Linked DNA regions of Rattus norvegicus. The protein of the gene in region 1 purifies or fractionates together with the protein of each later gene. This does not show direct contact. Links are inferred from orthologs where the notes say so. Each region holds a gene or a part of one and is shown in the gene's direction. Other genes may lie near its edges.

Region 1 (4,652 bases):
CACAGTCTTGCTTTCCTATCAGCAGCCTACTTGACATTTCTGCCAGTTTATCTGCCTGTGTGCATGTGTGTATAAGCGTTCTTGTATAAGCACATATGTGTGCCAGTGTAAGCATATGTATACGCCTGTGTCTGGAGCCGAAAGGTTGATGTCTGTCGTGGAACCGTGAGAGCAGACCATTTCAGTAAAGCTAGCTGGTCATCCTGCTACAGAGGTCCTATCCTGCCTTTTCTGCCCTCCTTGCATTAGTATGACAAGCACATACATAAACATGTATGGCTTAAAAACTTTTTTTTTTTAAACAGGTGTCTTGTCTTCTTGACAGCAGACTGTTACCTGTAAGTTAATATAAATCTTTTCTTTCCCAAGTTGTATGTGGACATGGTGTTTTATCATAGCAACAGAAATCGTATTACGACACGTGGCAAGCATTTTATCAATCTAGCCATCTCCCCAGGTCCCTTCACTAAGTTTTTTCCTCGTGGTATAACGATGTTATTAAACTGTTACCACGTTGGAATTTGTGGTAACTTAAATCTGTGTCTCTGAGCCATGATCCCTCATATTTGTCTCTAGAATAAACTATTACGTTCTTTGAGTGATAACTATTTTTCTGTTCGTAGAGTTCAGTATTAACTGAAGTGAAAACGGCTTTACCTGGCTGGAAGTATGACGATATGCTTACCTAGCACGTAGCCCGAGAATTTCATGAGAGATGCAGTCAGATGAAAGAAGAGAAACCTTAAGTAGAATTACGTGGTTTATTGTAGCATTTAGAGACAGGTAGAGGCTATAAGAGGGAAAACCTGGACTCTTGGGGCTGGAAGGGAGCAGCAATTGCCCTTTAAATCCTGGAGTTCAGAAGTGACTCCAATACAAAATAACTCCTTCACTAACGGGTGTCTTTTGCTAAACTTATATTGGATTGTACAGATGTGGCTTTGGGAAAAATAATCTCCATGCAGCAGAAACTCGTTGCGTGATGGACTACCAATCCCATCATGCAACGTTCTGAATTCGCCGCGTCGTGGTAAAGTCGGCTACAGCAGCCATCCGTGCACAAGAGCCTTGGCGTTTTGGCTGCACTGCCGACTGGGTTGGTCCACGTGGTAAGTCTGTCAGCATCTCCGCACCGCCGCTGAGCGAGGCCCTTTCGCCTGCTGGCGTCAGAAGAGGCGGCTGCCACCTCCTAAGCCGCTCACAGGTGGGGCGGAGGCAGCGCGAGGCTTTGCGACGTTTTTACGACAGCGGTTGCCGTCTTCCGAGTTCGCCCTCCCTCCTCCTCCTCCTCCTCCTCCTCCTCCTCCTCCTCCTCCTCCTCCTTCTCCTTCTCCTCCTCTCTCGGAGGAGCTACCGGCTGTTGTGTGGCGTCGCTGGTCTATTGGGGCGGATGGCTGCCTGAGTGTTCGTGAGAGCGTGTGGAAGAAGGTGAGGCGCGGACGCGCGTGGGCGAGGAGCAGAGTCAGCCGTGGCCGCCCCGCGCCGCACCCGCAGCAGCACGCGCGGCCAACCGCGCGCGAGCCGGCGCCCCGGGAGCGCGGGGACAAGGGCGGACGCCGCTCCCCGCCCCCAGCGCGTCCCTCGGCTGTCGCGCGCCCGCGGGGACCGCCCGGCGCTCCCCTGGATGTCCCCGGCGCCCGCGCGGGACCTCCTGCCGTCGCCGCGTGAGGCGGGCTGGTGCTGCGGCCGGCGGGTGTAGCTCGGGGGCTGCGGCTGCCGCGCGGCCGGGTCCCCACCGCGGCCCTCGGGCCCCCGCCCCAGCACCCCGGCCTTGGAGGCTGTGACAATGGACTATGACTTTAAAGTGAAGCTGAGCAGCGAGCGGGAGCGGGTCGAGGACCTGTTTGAATACGAGGGCTGCAAAGTTGGTCGAGGCACTTACGGGCATGTCTACAAGGCGAAGAGGAAAGATGGGTGAGTGTGGATGTCGCCGTGGGTGTCCTCGAGGCTGGGAGGCAGGTGCCTGGCCCGGGTGCCAGGGTCCCCACTTCCTCCAAGACTGCCTCTGTCCTGGCCAGCCTGATTTGGGGAGGAAGTGGTGTCCCAGGAATCCAGACTCATAAGGAACCCTTCATGCAAGAGGGAGAAGGACCTTCTGTCTCATGGGCAGTGTACCTTTTTTTGGGGGTGGGGGGGGATTTCAGTCCTGTGCAGTTTCCTTTTTAAAAGAAGATGGTTATAAAATGCCATTTTAAATATATCTGTTTTTCTTTGGTGGATTTATCCGGTAACCTTTTGGGGACTAACTCATCTGGGTCTGTATGATCTCTGTCCCGTCAGTCTGGAAGAGAAGCTGATCTTTTCCCCTTAATCAGTTGTGATCAGTTGATGACCAAATTTGGCTTTGATTGGGAGAAAGAAGAAGGCAGCGAGTAAATGTGGTTCTGGAGAGTTCCAGGGAGGATCATCTGTAATGTAAATGTAGCAGTTGCTATTCAGGTATCATTAGCTGTGAGTTTTTTATATAGAACAATGGGTATTTGGTGCAAAGTGGATGGTGTGTGTGGGGGGGAGCAAGTGAAGGATAGAGTCTATGTTGTGCAAGCTCTTAAAGCAGAATGTATCAGCTGTCAGTGAACTTTAACCTTTTTGCTTTAAATATTCTTTTCTAGAAACAAAAATTAAACCTTTGGCTGGGGATTTCTCTCAATTGAGTAAAGCGAATGGGCTCCTTTCCCTTTCATCAGTAGATGACTGCATTGTAATATTGCCAGAAGGGAAAGTACTTCTTAGTTTGGGAGAAAATATTTAATAATTTCCCGTTTCCTCCTTGTACAAATAGATATTATCTCTGCCTTTAACACTGGGAAATTATTGGGAGGATTATCATAGCTTATTATATAATTTTTTGGATTTATTAGAAACAGCTTTCTTTGAGTATCTTATTTGGCTAGTTGCTATTTCACTGCTTGGGAAATGGCTTTTTTCATGTTCACAGGAGTGCATATTCAGAATTGCATGAGCACCGTAAATGAAAAGGCTAAAGCTGGAGTAAGTCCTTCTTGAGGGAGCTTATTTATACATACTTTCCGAGTCTGGATAATGGAAAAGGAAGTGTCTGTTTATTAAACACTTCTCTTCGCTTTACTGGAATAGCTTCCTGGTTTATCATGTATTTCAGTGCTTTTGTGCAACAGGGAACCATGCAGCTCTGGGCAGAAAGGAGGGGATGGGCAATCTGGCGATCTGGGTGCCCTGTAGGTTTAAAACCTTTTTCGCAGAATGTATAAAGCAGGGACATCCAGAGCCCTCATTAATTCTTGTCTAACTAGATTTGTTTTATCAATATTAATGAATTATATTTAAAGAAATTATCCAAATCAATTTACTGCATAATAATTTTCAGAAGGGCTAAAGCATCCTCCATCCCTTAGTGCTATGTAGTTTGGGGCATGGTAATAAAATCTTCACTCCCATGACATTTGATATTATAGTACATTTGACCAGTCTGTCATTTGTTTTAAAAAAAAATGTGAGTGGTTTCTATATTTTATTCTTATAAAAACAGCCAATTCTAGTTTTATAAATTATCAGTTTAAGCTAATAAACTATCCAAATGTGTTTGAGTGTGGTCTATTTTTTTTTTCAAGTATATATGCATATAGAGGGAGATGCTTTAAACACCTTTTACATCTTGATGATCAGGTTTTCATTTAGGCTATTGCGAATAATTTCAGAAGAAACTATATAGCTTCAAATAGCTGCTGTTAGTGTGTATTTCTTAGTCATCTGTGGCAATTGCAAATGAGTATTTGCATTTGGGGGGATTGTTTTTTAAGCTGTAATCCTTTGGGTTTGTTTTCCAGCAACCTTTAATGATTCTGTTTGTTGTGATGAACCAAATTCTTTTTTGTAGCGCATCAAATGTCAAGAGAGTTTTCGAATTGGGATAGTTTTGGTTTCCGCAGGGAATACTCCATTTGGCTTGTTTATATGGCCAGGCTACTAATGTGCTACATTGTATTTATGACATACTTGAGTGAAGCACAACTTTATGCATTCTTGGACTTGGTGTAATGCCATTTGTGGCTGTTTGAATCTTCTATAGTAAGATGGTCAAGTCACTTGCTTCTGGTATTGATTTACTTTCAAATTAAATGGTATATTCTGCCACTGAGATATCCCAGTCCTCAAGGAACTTGGGCAGGAATAACACTTTAAAGAGAATCTGGAACCCTGCAGTAAAGTTAAATAATGGGGATGCCTTTGCTTGGACATATTTGGTTGTTAAAACGAATACATGAAAATGTTTCTTTCAGCTGTCCAGTAAACAGAATATGGGGTAAAGAATCTAGACTAGAGGAATTAGCTTGTTGAATTATTCAAGCTTAGGAAATCGCTTAATGATTGTGGCATCGTGAGTTAGTAATACCACCCTTCTTGTATATTATATGCCAGATAAAAAAATTCGCATCATAAGGAGTAAAGGGAGTAAGGAAGTACTTTGTTTAAAGCATGACTATACAAGATAAAGGGCCTTTTATAATCATGCTTATTTCAGGTTTTGAGAGAGTTAAAATAAGTGCACACTATATATCTTGAAATTAATTCTTCTGGGGTGTGTGTGTGTGTGTGTGTGTGTGTGTGTGTGTGTGGTTTTTCAAGACAGGGTCTCACTATGTTGCCCTGGAACTCTGTAGACCAGGCAGGCC
Region 2 (4,694 bases), on another chromosome or scaffold:
CAATAGACTTCAGACTGAGTAGCATCATATAGTACCTGTAAAGTATTACTTGGGATGACCTCCTAAGTCCATTTACCCATTCAACCATCTATTATCCATCCCGCAAATCGACAATTTTTTGAGATGTGCCAAATGCTATGCTGTGTACCTCGTGCAATAATGAAAATATTGTCCTTACTGTATCAGTGAGAACTACAGTCCACTGAGAATGGGGAAAGTATGAGGAATAAAGATGGTGAAACATCATTACAGATGATAAATACTCGGGATTTATTATATACTTTCTTCACTTTTTGGTAAGCTCAATACATTTTCTAATAAAGTTAGATATGAATAAAAACTGTATTTTCTTCCAAGCAAGATTTGGATTTGACGTATGCTATAACACAAGGCAAACTGCACCGTGAAGTTATTACATATAGCGTATTAGATGAGAAATGTTCATGGCAGGGTGGGCAGTGGAAGGAAACCAACCATCTTGGTGAAGGCAAGTATACTGTAGAAGGCCTAGCTCACACTGAGTGACGGATTTAGCCTCATAGAGCCCCATTTAGGTTTTAGGCTAGGTTGGAGATACTCGTAGTTCAGAGGGTGAGCAATGAAGAACTAGTCTTCTACAATGCCATCGTCTTATCCACTTCCTTCTTCCTTCCCTTGGGTTAGAGCCAGCAAATAGTATATCATCAACATGTACCAGGTACTATAGAAAGGCTGCAGGTAGTTCTGTGTGCATCTTCTCCAGAGCTGGGAACTAGGAGTCTAAAACATTCCTCAAGTTATGGGGAATGCGACACAATCAGGCCAAGGGCAGATCAAGCACACAGCCTTTCCCGATCAAAGCAGAAGAGTGAGGTCAGAAACCTGAGCTCCAGCAGTGGTAGGTTCAAATTCCGACTAGCTTTTGCAGCTTTGAACAAGTCATCTAAGCTCTCTGAGCTCACACAATTTCCTTCATTTATAAAGAGGTTGAAGTCAAACCTTGGAGGGTTTGTTGTTAGAAGCAAATTCAGACCCTCAAGATCATACAACCAAAGGAAGACTCCATAAATGGCAGCCATCATTCTTGGCCAAGTGCTGGCGCTTTCTCCTGGGCGCGCCTCCTGCAGGGTCCCTTAGGACACACTGGGCCCGCCTCCGAGGCTAGGTCTCAATGCTCACTGCTGGTGGCCCGGCATCTGCGTGTCTACCTGGAGAAAGCGAGGGGCGCCGGCAGGTGGATTGACCAGATTCCCCGAAAGGATCGCCCCCTCCCCGCGGTTCCCATCCCTGTGATGCGAGCAGGTGAGGTGTCGCCTAGGCTGCCGGGATGGCGACCGCAGGAGGGGTCGAGGCGGAGGGCGCAGCTCGAGGCCCGGGGTCCCTCCTGGTGCTGGTTCCACAGCCGGGTTAATCCTGCAGCCAGCTGGGGCTCAGGGCCGGTGGACTGCGCGCTCTGCGGCTGCGAAAACCCGGAGAGGCAGATGGGAGCGCTCGAGGCGCTCGCAGCCAACTCCTCCGCGGTCCGGCCGCCAAGCTGGGCATGCTCAGTGCGGCCGTCGCGCCGCCGTCCGCCAACTCGGGAGCTCGCGCTCCCGGGCCGTGGGGGCGAGAACGCCGGCGGCGGCGAGCGACGCCCCCAGGCAGCCGCAAACTTCGCGGCGTCCGCAGTCTGGAGAGCCAGACACCTCGCAACGTCAAATCCAATTCCCCAACCCTATCGGAGCGATGGAGGCTGCGGCCGCCAGGGCGTCCCGGCCGCCCGCCCCTGCCTAGCCGCTAGCTAGGGACCAACAGGTAAACTGTTGGGGGTGGGGATCGGGGCGCGCGACGTCTAGGGGTGGCCCGGGGAGCCGAGACGCCCGCGCTCCGGATGTGTCCGTCGGTGCTCGCGGCCACCTTTGCTCACCCCCTCCTCAGCCCCGAGAGGGCCAGCAAAGGGTTAAGTCGGCCCCGCGCCACAGCGAGCGCGGCCCCCTCCAGCCACCGCGGCCGCTGCAGCCGGCAGCCAGCAAAGCGCCCGGGCGCCGCCGAGGGGACCCGCGCAGCTCGTGCACTAGCTGAGCTCGGAGGAACCGGCCTCGCTCGGCGTCCGCATCCTCGCCTCTCGCGGCCTCTCTCCCTCCGCGCCCGCCGTTCTGTGTCTGGGCGGCGGGTCCACCGGGTGCAAAGCTGCGGGCGCGGGGCACGGCGAGCCAGGAAGTGGGCGCGGGCCGCTGCGCAGCGCCTCGCGGGCCCGAGGACGCTTAGCTCTCGGCGGGCACCGAGCCTCCCGCCTAGGCGCCAAGAAAAGTTTTTTCCCCCTTTATGCCCCTCCCCCACCCCAGCCTGTGTCCCCCTGGGTGGGTTTGGGTTCATTGGTGAAGAAAGTCACACGTTCCCATCAGCTGCTCCTCCCCCTAGGGACCGGGTGGGGGTGGCGGGAGGCCGGCGCCGCGGCGGACCCTGGCCGACCTCCAGCCCCGCCGCCGCCCGCGGAGCAGGCGTCCCGGGGCTCGGCGCAGCGGGGTGCCCACGAAGGCGGCCCCCCTGAGCGCGTCTGCGCGCGGGCAGCGGCCGTCTCCAACCTGCTTTTTCTCCTGCCTGCAGCGCCACGGCGAGCCAGAGTGGAGGGAAGAGGGAGTCTGTCTGCAAAGTGCTGCTCCCTGGTGCTCAGAGGCGGCTGCTCCAGCTCCAACTCTCATTCATTTCGCCGGTTAACATGAGAGATCATGGCCGCCTTCGGGCTTCTCAGCTATGAGCAGAGACCGCTGAAGCGCCCGCGGCTCGGGCCGCCCGACGTCTACCCGCAGGACCCCAAGCAGAAGGAGGTAAGGGCGCGGGCGGCCTCCGCGGTTGTGCGGCGCTCCGCAGCGCTGACCCCGGGCCAAGCTGGCCCGGCGGCCGTCCGCGGCGCTGCGGGGGAAGGGCTGCGGAGGGGATCGGAGGCGGGGCTCGGGTTGGGGTATCAGGGACCTGGGCTACTGAGACCTGGAGCCTGCCAACCCCCGCGCTCCACTGGGCGGTCGCTCTGCGGGGGGCTGGGTCGCTTCGCGGTTGTCGGGCCTTGCACTGCGCCGCTGGGCGCTTTACCGCTTCTTCCTCGCTTGCATCTTCCTTCTCGCTTTCCTTCGTTTCTGTTTGTTTTATTGTTTTTCACTCCGTCGCTTCGATAAATCCTGGTAAACTTTTTGACAAATGCTGGAATGCAGTACATCGGACACCGTGGTCTTGCGTTTTGCGCCAACGGTATAGGCACGGATGGGGGAGGGACCCTTTTCACATCCTCCAGTTTGGAATGGAAGTCGTTTTTAGCGAGGTGATCATATATTTGGCTCTGTGAATGTATCTCTGTATCTCTCCTTTTGAAAAAAAAAATTAAGAAAACAATATTGAAGAGAAACTCTGAAATTTGTTTCTAGAGAGGCAATCGGCTTTTCCGGAGGCTGTTTTATATGTGTAGAATCAAGCAAGTTACCTTAGAAAGGAATAGCTTTCAGGATCACTTATTTCTTTGAATGAAATTAATTGGGGAGACCTTGGCTGTTGCACTTACAGTGGCTTCAGTGGTTAGTGTAAGCTATGTAGGTATGTGGCAGGAGTTAACAAGTAATTATGTAACAAGTCTCCAGCCAGAATGGTGATTGCCCTTGGCTATACAATTTGCCCAGAGATTTGCCTATCTTTTCCTTTATCGGTCACCTGCTCCCCAGCTGTCCTTTTAGACGGTGCCAACTACAGCCCACCCATCTTCCCTTTTCTATAGTTAAATGTGAAACGGCTCTGTGTGCTCCTCTTTCTGTGAGCCGGAAAAGTTTGCATGTCCACTGATTTCACAAGAGAACTTTGCAAGTAAGAGTTCCTTTGGGCTTCTGTTTTGATAAATGTATCAGTCTCATTAGTAGAGGCTCAGCCCAGACTGGTTAATAATGTCTGAGAAGTCATCATGAGCAATGCCTTTTGGCCTTATCACATTGAATTTGAGGATCAGCGGGAGTAGTTAAGATTGAAGATGGCTGGAAAGTCTACAGGTGGGCAGCATTTCCTCACCCAGCTCCTAAGGTTTAGAAAGGATAGAGACTCTAAGGACCAAGTGTAAATAAAGGACGTTGATTTAAGCGTTACTGGTAGAATTCTAAGTTTTGGTAGGGATGGGGCGTTGACTTTGCTCATCTTATAATTAATGTCTCACTACGAGTTTATAGAGAGAGATGTAATGAGGCAGCTCCTTAGCTTCCGGTTGGTTGCTTGGATTAGCATGTGTGCTTGTTTAGCATTCAGTTTTACACATGACAGTCAGTTCAGGATTTGGACCCCGGAAGGAATAATTTTGGATTTTGGGTCACTTTCTAGAAACCTAAGACTGGAAGAAGCGACTGTAGAGGGTACCTTTCCTACTTTGGTTTGAGCAAATGAGATGATTGAAGCCCAGAAGCACTTGGTTTCTCTGAAGTGTGTGGTGAACACGCATACATAGGATTATCCGTGCAGTACTCATCCAAACCAGCACTGTGTTCTGGGTGACTTGCGCTGCTACTCTTAGGATTCACTTTCCCCCAGGCGACCGATATTCTATCTCTCTTGAGGGGAGAGTTATATGTGGCTGTAGTCAAATTTGGGTACAATATGGAACAGGTGCTTGGCTGTTTTTTTGGTCGTTGGCGAGCAGATTCCTAGGCTTCAGTTATTTATGTATTATACTACTCCCTCAAACTTCCACCCTATCTTTGTACAACCAG
Region 3 (4,661 bases), on another chromosome or scaffold:
CCTACTCGCTACCACAAGATAGATACCTTATCTTTCACAGGAATACAACAGAACATCGTCTTACTTTCTCTTCACTTGAGAAGATCTTAGTCTTTTCCACTGCTATAGCCGACAAGTTCTGACTGGTACCAAGCATGCTGTAGGTACTCAGTAACCATCCTCTGCCAATCTCACGCCCCAGACCAAGTGTCATGGCTGCTTCTTCACGTTCCCTCCCAAGATTAGTATTTTTTTTTCTCAATTGCCCTGCCCTTATTTTTCTAATAGCTCCTGACCTATTTTTTAAAGTGTAGATGGAATACTGTGTATAACAACTTAACACGAGAAAACTTATTATGAAATATAAATATTATTAAAGGGTAATTAACAATTTGTGAAAGATGATGCCTTGCTCTGTAGGTTTCAAGCAGGTATATGATCAGGCCAGTAGTCAAGAAACATGACAAATCTGGCCCCTCTTCGCAGATTTCAAGTCGTCAACACATTCTAGAGGGACCTAAGACTATAAAACTTACCTGGTGTAGAGACTCAAAGAATCTCTTTGTCCATCGTCTGGGTTTACACAGTACTACAAATCGGAAACCTTTCTGTGCTGGCTTCAGGTTAATAGTACGCTGGGTCAACAGCAGGATGGACTAAGGTGCTGCAATGTCAATACATGTTAACAGTGCCCAGAAACCACAGCCTGCTTCTTACACTGTTTTATGGGCTGTTTCCATGAAACCAAAGATACTTGGCTCTCCTGGAAGCTGGCTGGCAATTCCTCAGTCCTGGCTAAGGACCATGGCACTTCATCGAGTCATTCTGGCACTCTGCCGAGTGGCTTGCTTGTCTCGCCTGGCTGGGCTCTCTACGCGGTGCACAGTAGTCTCCACCCGCAGGGATGACGACGCCCTGACGTGGCGGGAGGACGTTTCCATGCACTGCGAGGAGGTTTCCACGTGCTGGGAGGACACCTCGAGGAATTGAGGGAGTCGCTTCGCGGAGGGGGTGAGGGAGGGTCCCTCTCGGTGGCGCTGGGAGGTCTCCACTTGCCGGGAAGACGTTAGAACCTGCCGGGAGGACGTCTCCACGCGGTGGGATGACGTTTCCTCGCGGTGGGACGACGTCTCCATGCGGACAGTCGATGTCTCCTTGTGGCGGGTGCTTTCCACTCGCGGGACGGAGGACTTGCTCCTAAGGGGCGAGGCCATCCTGCCCGTACACTTTGGTCAGGAGGAACAAAGAAGCCCAAGGATCATGCTCTGCGTCACGCCACCCGGGGGAAGGTGACGTCAGAGAGGTGTATTACATCAGAGTAGGCAGCAGGACTCAGACCTGAAATCAGAGAAGCCCTCCGGCACGCCCCGCTCGATATCTGCGCGCGCAGTCGGCCCGGTCCGCACAGATGGGCGGGGCCACTCTTCCCCAAAGTGAAGTTGTCCCCGCCCTCGTGTCCCACTCTGCCCCGCGACCGGAAGTAGGACCCGTGACTTCCGGATTCTCCTTCACCAATCCGGGCTGCGGTTGGGTCGGGTTGGTAGTGTTTGCGCCTTTCTGCTTGCTATGGCCGCGGCCGTCGCTATGGAGACAGGTGCGTTGTGTTTTGCACGGGAATGGTCCTTCGCCCCAAAATCCTCTCCCGTTTCCCTTCCCCTGCGCCGTCTTCCGGGCTCAACTCCTCATCCTTAGAGTTGGGACCGGCGGAGGAGAAGGCGGTGTTGCCCCCCAGAATATGGCCTGTAGGACCAACTTTGCTCCTGTGTTGCTCTAACCCCTACTCCAACCCTGACTCGCGGGGCGGGCCGGGGCGCATAGAAAGGACTGAGACCTTCCACTGTCTGCTCTTTGGAACTTCTCCAAACTTGCCTGAAATGTCGGTAACCTGTGTATTCTAATGCATATCACCGTCTTCTCTCCATTGTTTAATCATTCCTGCTTCGTTTTTGTGTAGCACTTTGTTTTTGCTTAACGTAATTAGTTGTGGTTATAACAACATAGGGAACCGTACAGCTATTGCAGACTATCCGATAATCTCCGCTCACGTCCTTCCACAGTGGCGTACAGGTTCTACATATTTTTTCCTCAACGAACTTTAAAGGATTTTTTTATTACTATTTTTGTTTTGGAAACAGGGCTCACTAAGTAGTGAATTAAACTAAATTTCTAAGGAAGTTTCTTCCACACTTTGATATTTGAGTTCATTCATGAGTGTGCATGTGTGTGTGTGTTTATGGGGGTGAGCGGCGGTGCATGCCAAGGTTAGAGGACAACTTGCAGAAATCGGTTGTCTTCCTACAACCCTGTAGGTTCCAGGAATCGAACTCAGGTCATCAGACTTTGCAGCAAGCACCTTTACTTGCTGAGCTGTTTGACCTGCGTTTTATTTTTGTTTCTACAAATCAATGTTTGTATTGTGACTTTTATTTTGGGTGATCGTTCCTTCCTTCTTTCTCTTTTTTTTTTTACTGTCTTTTCTCCTAGATGATGCTGGAAATCGACTTCGGTTTCAGTTGGAGTTGGAATTTGTGCAATGTTTAGCCAACCCAAATTACCTTAATTGTAAGTTAAGTACATCATTAACTTAAGTAGCTCACTAGATCTTAATGGTTTCTGAGAAGAGATGCAATTTGTAATAGTATTTATTTACTTCGATGTGTTTGGGGTTTTACTTGTGCTGGTCTGTAAGTATCAACTGAGCAAACAAGGGCTTGTGTTTTTTAATCCCTTGTGTTTTGTCGGTAGGGATGTTAAGAAGAGCTACTTTACTTAAGAGATTACAGATCAGCAGCCCAGCAGTGGTTGACATACAGAGTGTTTCTTTGTGTCTTTCAGTTCTCGCCCAAAGAGGTTACTTCAAAGACAAAGCTTTTGTTAATTATCTTAAGTACTTGCTTTACTGGAAAGAACCAGAATATGCCAAATATCTAAAGTAAGTTTAATTTTTAAAATCCCAAAGCTGTGTGTACTTTATTATAAATACTAAGTGCTATTATTTAGCAGTTTTCTCGGTGTCAGAATGGAAAACAGCATTTGGGATCTTTCTGCTTTTAGTTGATGTAAGACGCTGTTATCTCTAACTTGGGTTGATTATGACAGGAATTTCATTTATTTCTGCTACCATTCTTACCTCACTCCCTTCAAACAAAACCAAAGAACTGTCTACGTGGGAGCCAGCTTACTCTCTTGGCAGTGTAAGTCAGAGCATACTGTTCGTGCAGGCTAAGATCCAGTGAACTGTTGTAGACTACAGTTCTAATGTAATTTGGTCGTGTCTAACCATGTCACTTAGCACTGCCCCTGTCTTTCTGGGGTTTTGAGGCCTAACAACCCATAACCTGTGACGGTAGGAAGAACTGTTTCCTGAGAGTCTTAGAGGTCCTGCCTTTCTTTGTGGTGTCCTTTGTTTCAATCACTGTGCGTATTAACTCACTGTAAAAGAACAGACACAACAATATCACATCAAACTCTGCTTTGACTTAAAAAGAGAAAAGAAAGCCAAGCTGGCTTTAATCCCAACATTTGGGAGGCAGAGGCGGGCGCATGTGTGAGTTCAAGGCCAGAGCTGCTTCCAGGACAGCCACTCTACCCAGGTAAACCCTGTCTAGACACTGCCCCAAAGGAGGGGACAACAACAAAAACCCCAGAAGTAGCTTGGTGTCCCTTTAATCCCAGCTCTCAAGAGGCAGAGTCAGGCAGATCTCCGTGAATTTGAGGCCAGCCTGATTATGTTGCAAGCTTCAGGCCATTCAGGGCCACACAGAGAGACCCTATTTTAAAAATTAGAGGAAAACATTTCAAACCTTTTTTTTTTTTTTAATCGTAGTCATTTTTCTGACTTGATTCCTGGGCTGCCTGTAGATTTGCTCTTCATGATGCAATTCTAGATTCCTCTAGGAATCCAAATGATAGGCTTGAAATTACTATTAGAAAAGTATGGGGTTGGGGATTTAGCTCAGTGGTAGAGCGCTTGCCTAGGAAGCACAAGGCCCTGGGTTCAGTCCCCAGCTCCGAGAAAAAAAAAAAAAAGAAAAAAAAAAAAAGAAAGAAAAGTATAACATGTTACATGTTAGCAAACTTTTAGCCACCTTCAAGCTCAGTCTCTCCAGCCCAGCTGTTGAAAGATGATTGTCTCCGCTCTGTTGGAGGCTCCCTATGATCATAGGTCCCTCTACTATTAGAGGCAGCTTACTCCATTGATAGCCAGAGGTAAGGGAGCTCTTCTTATATACTCTGATCAAATACACCTCCTTGTAGCTCTAAGCCGTTTGTAGGCTTGTTCCTTATTCTGTTCATCTGTGTCCTCTTGGAGGTAACAGCTATAGATGTTTAAATTCGAGAGAAGTTGTGAAATAACTCCACTATATCTTGCATAATGTTCTGAATAACATGGTAGGAGTGATTTTACCAAAGGTACCATAGTAGTAGAAATGGTGGGCTTGAGATCATTTTTAGGGGAGTATCTGATTTAGAACTTGGGATGCCTTAAATTATGTTGATAATTGACTTATGAACTTAAACCCAGGTACCCTCAGTGTTTGCATATGTTAGAACTGCTCCAATATGAACACTTTCGAAAGGAGCTGGTGAATGCTCAGTGTGCGAAGTTCATTGACGAACAGCAGATTCTGCACTGGCAGCACTATTCGAGGAAGCGGATGCGTCTTCAGCAAGCCCTAGCA

The links. Proteins that work in one complex are often made in the same cells at the same time.
Region 2: the proteins of Cdk8 (region 1) and Med12l purify together in Homo sapiens (affinity purification with mass spectrometry; 3 studies listed by BioGRID and IntAct, counting the BioPlex papers as one, with this or other methods). This does not show direct contact. The link is inferred for Rattus norvegicus from reciprocal best matches to the Homo sapiens genes CDK8 and MED12L.
Region 3: the proteins of Cdk8 (region 1) and Med31 purify together in Homo sapiens (affinity purification with mass spectrometry; 7 studies listed by BioGRID and IntAct, with this or other methods). This does not show direct contact. The link is inferred for Rattus norvegicus from reciprocal best matches to the Homo sapiens genes CDK8 and MED31.

What each region holds. Positions count from the first base shown.
Region 1 is NC_086030.1:13,915,113-13,919,764, reverse strand, and holds the start of Cdk8 (cyclin-dependent kinase 8), read left to right. Parts: upstream 1-1,772; 5' UTR 1,773-1,786; coding exon 1,787-1,914; intron 1,915-4,652.
Region 2 is NC_086020.1:145,401,796-145,406,489, forward strand, and holds the start of Med12l (mediator of RNA polymerase II transcription subunit 12-like protein), read left to right. Parts: upstream 1-1,522; 5' UTR 1,523-1,773; intron 1,774-2,565; 5' UTR 2,566-2,687; coding exon 2,688-2,786; intron 2,787-4,694. UniProt on the Homo sapiens protein: May be a component of the Mediator complex, a coactivator involved in the regulated transcription of nearly all RNA polymerase II-dependent genes.
Region 3 is NC_086028.1:57,335,718-57,340,378, reverse strand, and holds the start of Med31 (mediator of RNA polymerase II transcription subunit 31), read left to right. Parts: upstream 1-1,489; 5' UTR 1,490-1,545; coding exon 1,546-1,573; intron 1,574-2,463; coding exon 2,464-2,541; intron 2,542-2,814; coding exon 2,815-2,911; intron 2,912-4,504; coding exon 4,505-4,661. Other genes in the region: C10h17orf100 (uncharacterized protein C17orf100 homolog), read right to left, coding at 792-1,193. UniProt on the Homo sapiens protein: Component of the Mediator complex, a coactivator involved in the regulated transcription of nearly all RNA polymerase II-dependent genes.